Medicago truncatula: one gene and its partners. The protein of the gene in region 2 binds, or shares a complex with, the protein of the main gene of each other region. Links are inferred from orthologs where the notes say so. Each region holds a gene or a part of one and is shown on either strand. Other genes may lie near its edges.

Region 1 (3,756 bases), about 40 Mb from region 2:
AATAGCAAATCATATATCTATACACTACTGGGAGTGCAAATGAGGGAAAGTTAAATACCACTTCTCTGCTATCAGGCTTAGTTTCAAGATTAAAGCCTATGAGATTAGCCATCCTCAAATTTCGCTCTTTTTCATGCTCTAGTTCTAAATGAGATGCACCATGAGTGCGATCATGAGGAGGCACCGAGAGTGCAGCTAGAACAACAGATGAAGCTATTAATTGCAAATCCTTTTGACCAAGATTTTTGTTGAAGCTTTTCTGTAACAAAAAGAGCTTAAACCATGCATAAGCATGATATAAATGACTTGAAGATTTCCAAAATATTTCTGTCAACTTGACATAGTAAACAGTCATCAAGGATGGTTTAGGTGTTTTCTTGACCATGCACATTAATCCATGAATATCTTCAACAGATCTGAAGGCTTCCTGCATGCAACAAAAAATCAGGTCTGCCAACATCAATGAAATAAACACCTTGTGAAGATTTAAGGAAAAATGAGAAGCTGCCAACCTGCCAGAGTTCAAGTTCAGTGGCAATTTTCAGCTGCTCAAATCTTGTATCAAGATACAATTGCAAGCTTTCAGGAGCAGAAAGGTCAGGCCGGTCTCGTTGGTCCCGATATTTGTTAAGATTAGCCAAATGATTTCTGATAATTTCACAGAGTCTGCGAAATTCTGTTGTTCGCTTATACTGCTTACAAAACTGGAAAGCTCGATGGGCTGTCATCTGCATATGGCAATAGAATCGACTATAAGTTTGACATAAAAGTAAATCTGCCTTGCATATTATTGTTTTTTAACTATAAAACGTAGAATGATATGAAATAAAAAAGAAGAATAAGTTAATGGGCAACAACAACATATAGCCCTAATGACAAGCAATTAATTTCTATTTATCAGGAATACTTACAGCATATAAGGCTTCCAATTTGGAGTTGTTCCGCAATATTTCAAGCACTGTCCTGTAAGTTTCCCATAGAAATTTAAACCATGGCGTAACAAGCTCCCGATCAGATCTATCCTTTCCTTTCTCGCCACTAACATAGCTCAGCATCAAATCCTCTGGCCTTTTATCAGCCTCCAGGTCATCCACATCAAGGGCTTCTTCCAAAGCCTGAGCCTGACTACGTGCTTGTTCAGCTTTCTCTGTTGACAGATGCATGAAGTGCTTGATCACCTCCTCCAGTGAGCTAACATTCACTTGCTGACATATTATACGATACTGAATGAGGCCATCCTTAGCAAATCGGCCTTTCCTCATGTCAACACAAAGCTCGACATACTTAAACATAATTCTCTCCAGTGTTTTCTGCCATGCGCGATATCTTTTCGAAGTGATCAGGTCGTGCAGAGTCTGAAGAGCATCCTGCTTCTGCCCGACATTGATCAACTCTGTAAATCAAATTTTAAGTGATTCAATTGCATAATTCTCTAAAACAAATGACAAGCTAAGAACACGAAGAATAGAAAAATAGAAACTAAATAGTCATCTTCTGAACAAACCTTCTGCCCTTTTGAGAGCATTCTCAGGCTTCAAAAATGACGTCATATTGCAAATTCACAAAAATTCAACTCCCTGTAAATAAGAGAGAGTGATAATGAAAATTAAAAAATAATAATGAAACAAAATGTAATCCAAAAACAACTGTAAAACACAAATTCACATCAGAATTATCTAGAAAAATTGTAAATCTCGCAAGATTATAGATTTGAATCACGTTAAACCAATGTCATTCATAAACTAAGACATCAAGTGAAATTGCCACTAAATGTAGCAGAAATTTAAGCGAAAATAACAATCAAACAGATATTCATATGAAAATTCTCTAGGAAAAAACGCCAAAAGATTGTAAATTACAATCACGATAAGGTGATGATATTCATAATAAGAATCATGCTAAGCCATCATCTTCGTGTAATATAATTAGCTGAGCAGATTAACTGAAAATAGCGATAATCAAAATAAAAAAAAAAAAAACAATAATAACAGTTAAACACAATTTCATATCAAAATTCTCTACAATAGTCAAATCTCGCGGAATTGTAAATTAGAATCACACTAAACCGATGATAATCATAAACTGAAAATCAAGTGAATCATCTACATCTAATTAGCTGATTCAAATTAACCATTAACAATAAAACTGGTATTATTGGAATACAAAAATAACGATAATTGAATCAGTTTATATCGCAAATCGCACAATCTCAGAATTGCGTTGCGGAGTGGATCTCTTCTCAAAAGGAATTTCCCGCGCACCGTCGTTCATAACGGCCGGGAAACGCGCCGGAATCGCATCGTCGAGAGTGGAAAGAAAATCGAAAGAAAAAAAAAAAAGGAAAATCTGAACGTACTTCGTAACGGTTTGTCGTTGTCGATGAAAAACAGTGGTTTCGTTTCCGTCCAGCTTTTGCTTTGTTACGAAGAAATTGAGAGTTGAGTGCGTCTTCTTCTTCTTCTTCTCAAACTGGATGCAAGTGCGCAAAAGCTCAGCGGCTGCTTATCGGTTTTGTTGCGTTAGGGTTTTAATGGTAAAAGCTTATTATGGGCCTAAGAAAATTGAATTGGGTCGGGTTTGGCCTCTTCAAAATGTTATGTATTTTTTAACCCAGGAAAATAAATAGTATGAAATAACAAATATTGAAGTTTATCGTAAAAAAGAAACAAATATTACTTTGGTTTTGACTCATCATTAAGACGTAGATTTTTTTTTACTCATTAATGATGTAGAAACTGAAAAAATATTAATATCAAAACCGAAATATTCACATTCAGGATGGAGCCAGAAATTTTTGCTAGAGGGGGCGAAAATAATTCATGTAATGTCGAGTCATTTGCTTGGTTTGAAATCAATTAATCACTTTTGTTTTAAATTTCTGATTTCTGAAGAAAAAAAGCTTTGGGAGTTATGAGAACGTAACATGATAATAAATCACATAAAGTCTGATCGTATATTTTTTAACTTAAATAATGTATTTTTTTCTTTTGCTAACATGAATAAGATGCCTTATTTTACCCTCTCAAACAAAAAGAATACTACTAATTTCAAAAGAGGCGAATGTAATGAATTTTTTTTCTTTCTATTAAGCAATACACAAAAATTAATATCATTATAAGAAGATGACTAAATGTGAGGCACTGGATAGAATACTTGTATATATATGTACCAAGTGACGTGGAAAGGAATTGAAATTAGAGTGTATTGAAAAGTACTAGAGTGATGCATGTAATTGTAGTTCAACTAATCCTGTTTCACAGGAGTAACATTCTTATTTCTTTAGGGGGACGAGTATGAGTTTCGGTATATATTTGTCATAAATTTCTTGTATTTGGGGGTGGCGACTGCCCCAAAACAAATATATGTAGCTTCGTCCACATTTTCTATCCTCTAACTAATGCACTCTAGTGTTGTTAGATTATTTTCTCCAACTTCCGAAAATTGGAGGTTATCACATGGCAAGTGATTTCTCTCGTGGATGTTTGTTTCAAGTTTAATAAAACATTCTTGAAAATGTATTAATAGGGAATTATTATGTTCATATTTATTGTAAGGTTGAGAAAAATATTTTTGGATATAAATCAAAGTTTATTGGAATGAACTAACTTCTCTTACTCTTGTGGAATCATTCACATGTGAGAAATTGGAAATGTGCATTCATGTGAAATTATATATAGAATTTTTTAAAAATGTCAAGTTAATATAGGACCAATATTATACAAAATCCTTAGGTGGTAGTGTGCTTGTTTGAAGAAT
Region 2 (3,756 bases):
GAAGAGATGAAGGAAAATGACATACTACATTTAACATGTGTATGTGAGTTATTTGGATATTAAAATGTCACATGTATCTACCAAAAAAAAAAATGTCACATGTATTTTTTTTAATGAAACTTGTTATGTTTAAAAGATTAACAATACAAATAAAATGTAACATAAACATGAGTTAAAAAAGAAAGATAAACCTTTTTTAAGGTGAAAGATAAACTTAAAAGCACATAAAATATCAAACTCAAAGCATTGCTGATGTAATTGTCAAATTACTAGTTTCTTTTTCTTTATCCGTACTTATTTATGAAAATATCAAACTTGATTTTGGACTGATTTTTATCTTTAAATTATACATTTCATTTAAGTTATTCTAGTTACATTTTTTTCTTTTCTATAATATTTTTTAAATTGTTAATTAAAAGAAAGATTTAAATTTCATTATAATAAGAACAATTTCACTTCAATAAAAATAATATAAGTTAAATATTTTTTTAGTGTGATATATTCTTGAAAATTCGTCAAATATAATAAAATAAAGGGTCTCTGAAAAAAAGGGTTAAATGGTTTTTACCCCTAACATTTGAGTGAATTTTGATTTATCTTAAAAAAATTTGGAATTCCAACCTTGTAATTTAAATATTATTTGGTTTTTGAATCTTAAAGGTACTTTCGCCTCTATAATTTAAGCGAATTTTGTTTACCCATGGCATGTATTCCATTTTGTATGATCAAAAGTCACATATACTCAAAACAAGAAAAAATTCGAATTACAAAGTTTAAATCAATTTTTTTTTTCCATTATGTGATTTAAGTTACGTGGAGAATAATTTAATCAATTTTTCTTTTGTGGTGTCCGGATTTGAACACCAAATATAAATGTTTTAATCGGTTTGTATGGAAGTGAACTTTTTTTATGCGATAACTGTTATAAAATAAGATTTTTTTTTTTTTTTTTTTTGGGTTTTATTAGTGGGTTATTTGAGCCCAATACACCACTCACCAGAAACTCCTCTCTTTCTCCGGCGTTAGGGTTTCTTCTTCCTGCAACTTCCGACCCATTTTCCTCATTCCCGATCGATTTTCACAGCGTTTTTTCCGCTTCAGATTCCAATCATGGCTACTACAAGTAATCTCACAACAATCTCCATTTTTTTTTTCCCGATTATTTACTCGATTTTTTCTCTTCACTAATTTGATTCCATTCTTGATTCGTTTTTCGCAGCTGCAACCAGGTCTTTTCTTCAAGCTGTTGCAACGGAAGAGGTTGCAACTCCTCTTAGAGTTGTTCAGATGGAAGGATTGGTATTAATTCTACTCTCTGTACTCTTTAATTGCTTAATTTATAGTGATGCACAATTCTGTTATACTGTTATCAAAATTGTGAAAAATGTTGTCTTTATTTGGGGTTTTGATGGGTTTTATTGTTTGGAATTATGGGTCTCTGTTTGATTTTGCATCTGGGTTATCTACATTTGTCTTGCTTTGTAATTTATATGTTTATGTTAGGTGTGTATGTACCTCTTCCCTGGTTTATGTTAGGCCGTGACCATGTTTGGTTAAATACCTTAATTGAACACTTATATGTGTAAGCTAATTCTATAACAAAAAGATAAAAACTGTTTTCATAAGCTATTAAAGAGAGCCCATGGAATAGCTGAAAACAACTTATGGACATGTCATGACAGCTGTTTCCATAAGCTCACTCAAACAATCTCACAAATGCTTATGCCAATAGATAAACTCTAATAAGTCAATCCAAACAGGACCCATTTCATGTAGCCTTGTAAGTTTGTAAAGTATTTGAAGCATGGCCTCTTGTTGCATGGAATTCTTCAATTAGTTTGTGTTATGAAGATAATTCTCAAACCATTCTGGTCTTGATGGTGTTATCTTTTGGTTAACAGGTCATCCTGAAGATAATTAAGCATTGCAAGGATCACTCACCTTCTTTAGTCACTGGACAACTTCTTGGATTGGATGTTGGCAGTGTTCTTGAAGTTACTAACTGCTTCCCTTTTCCGGTATGGTATCACTTTTTTTTTTATTTTGTTTCTCAGTTTTGAAATTAGCTAACATTGACTCATTAAGTTTTCCTCATATCTATTTCTAAAATTTGCAGATGAGGGAAGAGGACGAGGAAATTGAAGCTGATGGTGCCAATTACCAGCTTGAAATGATGAGGTGCTTGAGAGAGGTCAATGTGGACAATAATACTGTTGGATGGTACGTATGATTTAAGTACCACTTCACATATGTATGAGTCTTTCTAACTTCAGTGGTTTGATAATCACGATTGGATTTGGTTCAAATTTCAATGTGTTATTTTTAATCACTTATCTAACATGATTGATAATTCTCTGAATCTAGGTACCAGTCTACATTGCTTGGCTCCTATCAAACTGTGGAGCTGATTGAAACCTTTATGAATTACCAGGTAATAGTTCTTGATTTTTTTTTGCATATTTTTCACTTAAGCCGGAGTTTGTGGATTTGTATTCTTAAATGCTCCTGTAGTTTACTATTTAATGTGAATGTACTGAATATATTCTTTTTTTACGCTTCTCTAAGTTATTCAATCTTGGTCAGATGAGCCATTACTCAAAGGTTATTGCACAGTATGTTGCATAATATCTGTGAAACTATAATTTAAGAATGTCCAATAGGCCAAACAAATATGCGGTATGCACCACCGAAGATTATAGCATTTTATTGTCTACTTATAATGATATTAAGGATGTGGGTCATTCGTGATCGATACAATCAGATATTAGGATTATTTGTTGGATTCAAGTTGCCTCTAACAATTAACTGATAATTTTACACATGCTTATTGCATTGTTCTGAGGCAGAAATTTGTGCTAGTGAAAATGTAGGAAGTTGATAAGAATAGATAGTTATATGAACAAAAGTATACTTGTGCATAATAACCTGATGATGAGAATTTCATGCTGCTTCCGCTGTCTAGTTTTTTTTTTTTTTAAAGTTTATACTTTTCATAAATGTGTGACAATGGTGATTTTGTCATATTCAATGCAGTTCTTGCTGAAGTAATCTTTTAACAATTTAATAATCAGGTAAATGACTGTTTCTTTCAAACCTATTAATGTTTTTTCAGGAGAATATTAGACGCTGTGTTTGCATAATATATGACCCATCCAGGGCTGATCAAGGGGTCCTAGCTCTGAAGGCTTTGAAGCTTTCAGACTCATTCATGGAACTCTATCGCAGCAATAATTTCACTGGCGAAAAGTATGTGTTTTCTTCTGGAAGATGTAATGTTTTCTTTAAGTTGAATGATTTGCTTTATTAATTTCTGTCCTATGAAATACTAGATTGAGGGAGAAGAACTTATCATGGGTGGATATCTTCGAGGAAATTCCCGTAAGCGCTCTGGAACTTTGCTGTAACCTTTTGAGTATTTGATCAAATAATCTTTTTATTGATAAATTTGTATTTTATTTAATTCTTTAAATTTATAATGTGTAAGTGTATCTAAATCATTTCATTTAGCTGATGAAAATATGAAGTGATCAAAACACATTCATCATGGTGGATTGCAGTATAAAGAATCTTGGTCACATTTGTTAATGCATCAATTAAGAATGAACTTTACATGTAACTGCTAATAATATCAATTAGACTACAGAATTGGCCAAATAATCTTTCTATTGATAAATTTTTATTTTATTTAATTGTTGTAATTTAGAATGTGTAGGCATTTCTATATCATTTTATTAAGCTGATGAAAATATGAATAAA
Region 3 (3,756 bases), on a different chromosome or scaffold from region 2:
CCAATATCGCCGATCAGTTAGGGGTCAAAAATGTAATTTACTCAGATAATATAATACACGTGTGGCATCTAAGTCATTAAATTTGATATCTTTGACTTGGTCAAAATCAAAGGGGTTCTTCAAAATGCAATTTCATGTTAAATTTTTTCATGATTTTTTTTTAGACGTGTTTAGGAAAATACGGTTTTTCACATAAAATTAGAATTATCTGACAATAGATAAATTAAGTATAAATTTTAAAAGTGCTAATAATTCAAAAATCAGAAGAATAAAAGCTTCAACCTAAAAATCAAATTTTAAGCTTAATTTTTGCAAAAATATCTATAAAAGATATAGCAAGGGTAAGCAAAGTTAATATTTCCTTATAAAAAAGTTAATATTGTAAAATAACTTGTGATTTTAAGCTTCTTTTTTTTTATACCATTAATTAATAATGGGTAATATTGTAATATAACTTGTGATTTCCTTCTTCAATACAAAATTAATTATTTTTTTAGTCTATTTAAAATCACGTTAAAATAACTTATAATTTTGATATCCAACTCAATGATCGATTAATTCGAGAAATCTAATTCTACTGTCTACTTGCAGGCTTCTTTTAAAGTCATGACAAAACTCAATGTGGACCGATCCATCGTAATTAACACAAATAATCAAACTTAAAAGAACGCACGTTGTTGTTCTATGTCAACAAGAGAGCAAGATAAACGCAAATTTAAACGAGTTATAATTTAAAGGAGGCGAAATATTTATCTACAATATTAAATTAAAACATTATATTTTTTTTAAAATATATATAAACTATAAAGGACGAAAAAACATTTTTGGTTAAAGAAAAAGGAGCAATAATATATTTAACTTTTCCTTGTGAATCGCGTTGAGGTAACTGGTAAGATAGCGAAGTACTAGGGTTTAGCGCATCAACTGAGAGAGAGAGAGAGAGAGAGAGAGAGAGAGAGAGAGAGTTTCGAAATGGGAAGAGAAGCAGCAGCAGCAGCAGAGAAAGGACAGGGAGGAACTGCTTACACTGTCGAACAGCTCGTTGCATTCAATCGTTACAATCCTGATATTCTTCCAGATCTCGAAAACTATGTCAATGATCAGGTAACCTTTCTTTTTTATCATTCATATCACTAAATTAGGGTTTATACAATTCCAATTAACGATTTTCTATCCTTTTTTTTTATTATTATTTCTTCAGGTTTCATCGCAAACTTACAGCCTCGAATCAAATCTCTGCCTTCTTCGCCTCTACCAGGTATCCATTTTCTTATTAATCGTCATTTTCAGATTATTGCTTGATGACAATTATAAAGGTTGATTGCAAGTAATTGTTTGTTTGTTTATTTATTTATTATTGCAGTTTGAATCTGAGAAAATGAGTTCTCAGATTGTAGCTCGCATATTGGTTAAGGTATTCAATTCTATTGTTTTTTTTTTTATTGCTTATTACTTGTGAACGAAAAATCATATGCCTAGGGGCCTATTTGAATTGACTTATTATGAAAACAGCTTATTACAATATCGTTCGTAAGATGTTTTCAGCTTATTTTCATAAATTCTTCAAGATAGCTTATGAAAATAGCTTATAGCTTATATCAAAACAATTTAACTTTATTTTATCTTTTGCTATATAAATAGCTTGAACACAAGTGCTTATCATAATAAGCACTTGTGTTGTAAGCCTCAAATAAGGTGTTTATCTAAACAGAGCCAAGATAGTTGATTGATGTTATCACTTGGTAAAATATTTGGTTTTGTTTTTCAACAGGCTCTCATGGCCATGCCGGCTCCAGATTTCAGCCTGTGTCTCTTTTTGATTCCAGAACGTGTGGTATGGTTCTTACAAAGTATTCTTTTCTTTGTAGTTGTTTTTCTTGTTCTCATGCATCATTTATTGGATATTTGAATGATTCAGTCACTCTTGTTAGATGCCTTTGATTGAGAAGGACCTAACAATCAATTTTAATTTTATGAAATTGACTGTCAATCTTTAGTATTACATAGGATTTCGGGGGGTTGGGTAGCTCAACTGGTTTTAGCCAAGGGTTAAAGAACATGGTTCAAACCTTTGCAAAGGAGAGAAAAATACTAATATAACAACTAACGTGCTGACATTTCCTCTAAAAAAAATTAAATACTGACATTTGTCTATAAAAAAAATTACATAGGGTTTCTATGTGTCTGGTATTCATCTGGGTTTTATAAATTTTCTATTTGATTTTGAGAATTGTGTAACTGTATTACTGATCTATTCATTTCTTTCTTATTAAGCAGTACCCTGTGGCGTCTTGTTTTCTTTTAGTGTAATAATTTTTGTTTCCTATGAATAATAGCAAATGGAGGAGCAGTTCAAGACACTGATTGTTCTGTCTCACTATTTAGAGGTATGCATCAATTAGTTGCCATGACTTAAGCAGTTCTTTGAAATCATAAGTTAATATTCTTATTATCTTCAGACTGGAAGGTTTCGTCAGTTCTGGGATGAAGCATCGAAAAGTCGTCATATAGTTGAAGCTGTGCCAGGTGATTATACATTATATTCATTCATGATTGATACTGATTTAATTTTGCTATATCTTGTTAATTGAGTCGTGACCCTGGGAAGGCTTGTGGTTACAAATATCTTATATATGACAAGCATTTCAAGATAGAGCTTTATCATACGCTCATCACGGATATATTATTGGGAAATAATAGAGCTGTACTGCTACAATATCATATATATGTTGGACATTGATTTTCTTAAATTTATTACTTATAATAGAGCTGCACTGCTACAATGTTTTATATACGTCAGACATTTCAAGATAGAGCTTTAGCTTATAGGTTCAACTTTGTTAATGCTTGCTTTTATGCTAGCTTACTTCAGAAATTTATTGCAGGATTTGAGCAGGCAATCCAAGGCTATGCGATTCATGTTCTATCCTTGACTTACCAAAAGATTCCCAGAACTGTGCTTGCTGAGGTATGCTTTTAGTTTTGTCCATTTAAATATTGGTTCGTTTATTACTGAAAAATAGTTTGTGTGGCTTAGTCTCTGCTAGTTCAAAGTACATTACATTAATTCTCCAAAACCTAGTTTAACTCGGGTTTGATGAATGAACTCATACTGATATAATACAACACTTCTAGATTCACGATTCATTAAGTCTCCAAAACCTAGTTTAACTCAGGTTTGATGAATGAACTCGTACATGATACAATACAACACTTCTAGATTCACAATACAACACTATTGTTCTGTTTATTCCTTTGGGGTTAAATGATTCTTGAAAACTTCGGCGGTTAGTTATTTGAATTCTTCTCACTGTTTGTCAAGTACAAGAGTGTTGGTTTCTGTAGAAATTGTTTTTATTTTGAAGACTTGTACGGATCTAATAGATATCAGTTGATTTCTCATATTACTTTGAAGCATATTAACAAGATCATTTATTTTTTGTTAAACTTGAATAGGCTATCAATGTAGAAGGTTTATCCTTGGACAAATTCCTTGAACACCAAGTAGAAAACTCTGGTTGGGTTATTGAGAAAAGCCAGGGGAAGGGTCAACTCATCGTCCTTCCGAGAAATGAATTTAATGATCCAATTTTGAAGAAAAACACTGCAGATAGTGTACCATTGGAGCACGTTACCCGCATCTTTCCTATTCTTAGCTGATTTAATATGGGGGACTGTATTTTCTTTCCAGAAAATGTGCGAATTTGTGATTAGTTGAAGCGATATTTTGCTGACTCCCATCCCATTGGATGCTTC

What was found.
Region 1: eukaryotic translation initiation factor 3 subunit H (region 2) and eukaryotic translation initiation factor 3 subunit A share a complex: the UniProt entries of both Arabidopsis thaliana proteins name them as parts of the eukaryotic translation initiation factor 3 (eIF-3) complex. The link is inferred for Medicago truncatula from reciprocal best matches to the Arabidopsis thaliana genes TIF3H1 and EIF3A.
Region 3: eukaryotic translation initiation factor 3 subunit H (region 2) and eukaryotic translation initiation factor 3 subunit K share a complex: the UniProt entries of both Arabidopsis thaliana proteins name them as parts of the eukaryotic translation initiation factor 3 (eIF-3) complex. The link is inferred for Medicago truncatula from reciprocal best matches to the Arabidopsis thaliana genes TIF3H1 and EIF3K.

What each region holds. Positions count from the first base shown.
Region 1 is NC_053048.1:47,003,741-47,007,496, forward strand, and holds the start of eukaryotic translation initiation factor 3 subunit A, read right to left. Parts: upstream 2,519-3,756; 5' UTR 2,357-2,518; intron 1,578-2,356; 5' UTR 1,551-1,577; coding exon 1,505-1,550; intron 1,394-1,504; coding exon 912-1,393; intron 729-911; coding exon 513-728; intron 428-512; coding exon 59-427; intron 1-58. UniProt on the Arabidopsis thaliana protein: RNA-binding component of the eukaryotic translation initiation factor 3 (eIF-3) complex, which is involved in protein synthesis of a specialized repertoire of mRNAs and, together with other initiation factors, stimulates binding of mRNA and methionyl-tRNAi to the 40S ribosome.
Region 2 is NC_053048.1:7,408,153-7,411,908, forward strand, and holds the start of eukaryotic translation initiation factor 3 subunit H, read left to right. Parts: upstream 1-961; 5' UTR 962-1,110; coding exon 1,111-1,123; intron 1,124-1,219; coding exon 1,220-1,299; intron 1,300-1,901; coding exon 1,902-2,018; intron 2,019-2,116; coding exon 2,117-2,220; intron 2,221-2,364; coding exon 2,365-2,431; intron 2,432-3,112; coding exon 3,113-3,246; intron 3,247-3,329; coding exon 3,330-3,378; intron 3,379-3,756. UniProt on the Arabidopsis thaliana protein: Component of the eukaryotic translation initiation factor 3 (eIF-3) complex, which is involved in protein synthesis of a specialized repertoire of mRNAs and, together with other initiation factors, stimulates binding of mRNA and methionyl-tRNAi to the 40S ribosome.
Region 3 is NC_053045.1:59,751,010-59,754,765, reverse strand, and holds the start of eukaryotic translation initiation factor 3 subunit K, read left to right. Parts: upstream 1-879; 5' UTR 880-972; coding exon 973-1,104; intron 1,105-1,201; coding exon 1,202-1,258; intron 1,259-1,363; coding exon 1,364-1,414; intron 1,415-1,771; coding exon 1,772-1,834; intron 1,835-2,336; coding exon 2,337-2,387; intron 2,388-2,459; coding exon 2,460-2,526; intron 2,527-2,885; coding exon 2,886-2,968; intron 2,969-3,456; coding exon 3,457-3,660; 3' UTR 3,661-3,756. UniProt on the Arabidopsis thaliana protein: Component of the eukaryotic translation initiation factor 3 (eIF-3) complex, which is involved in protein synthesis of a specialized repertoire of mRNAs and, together with other initiation factors, stimulates binding of mRNA and methionyl-tRNAi to the 40S ribosome.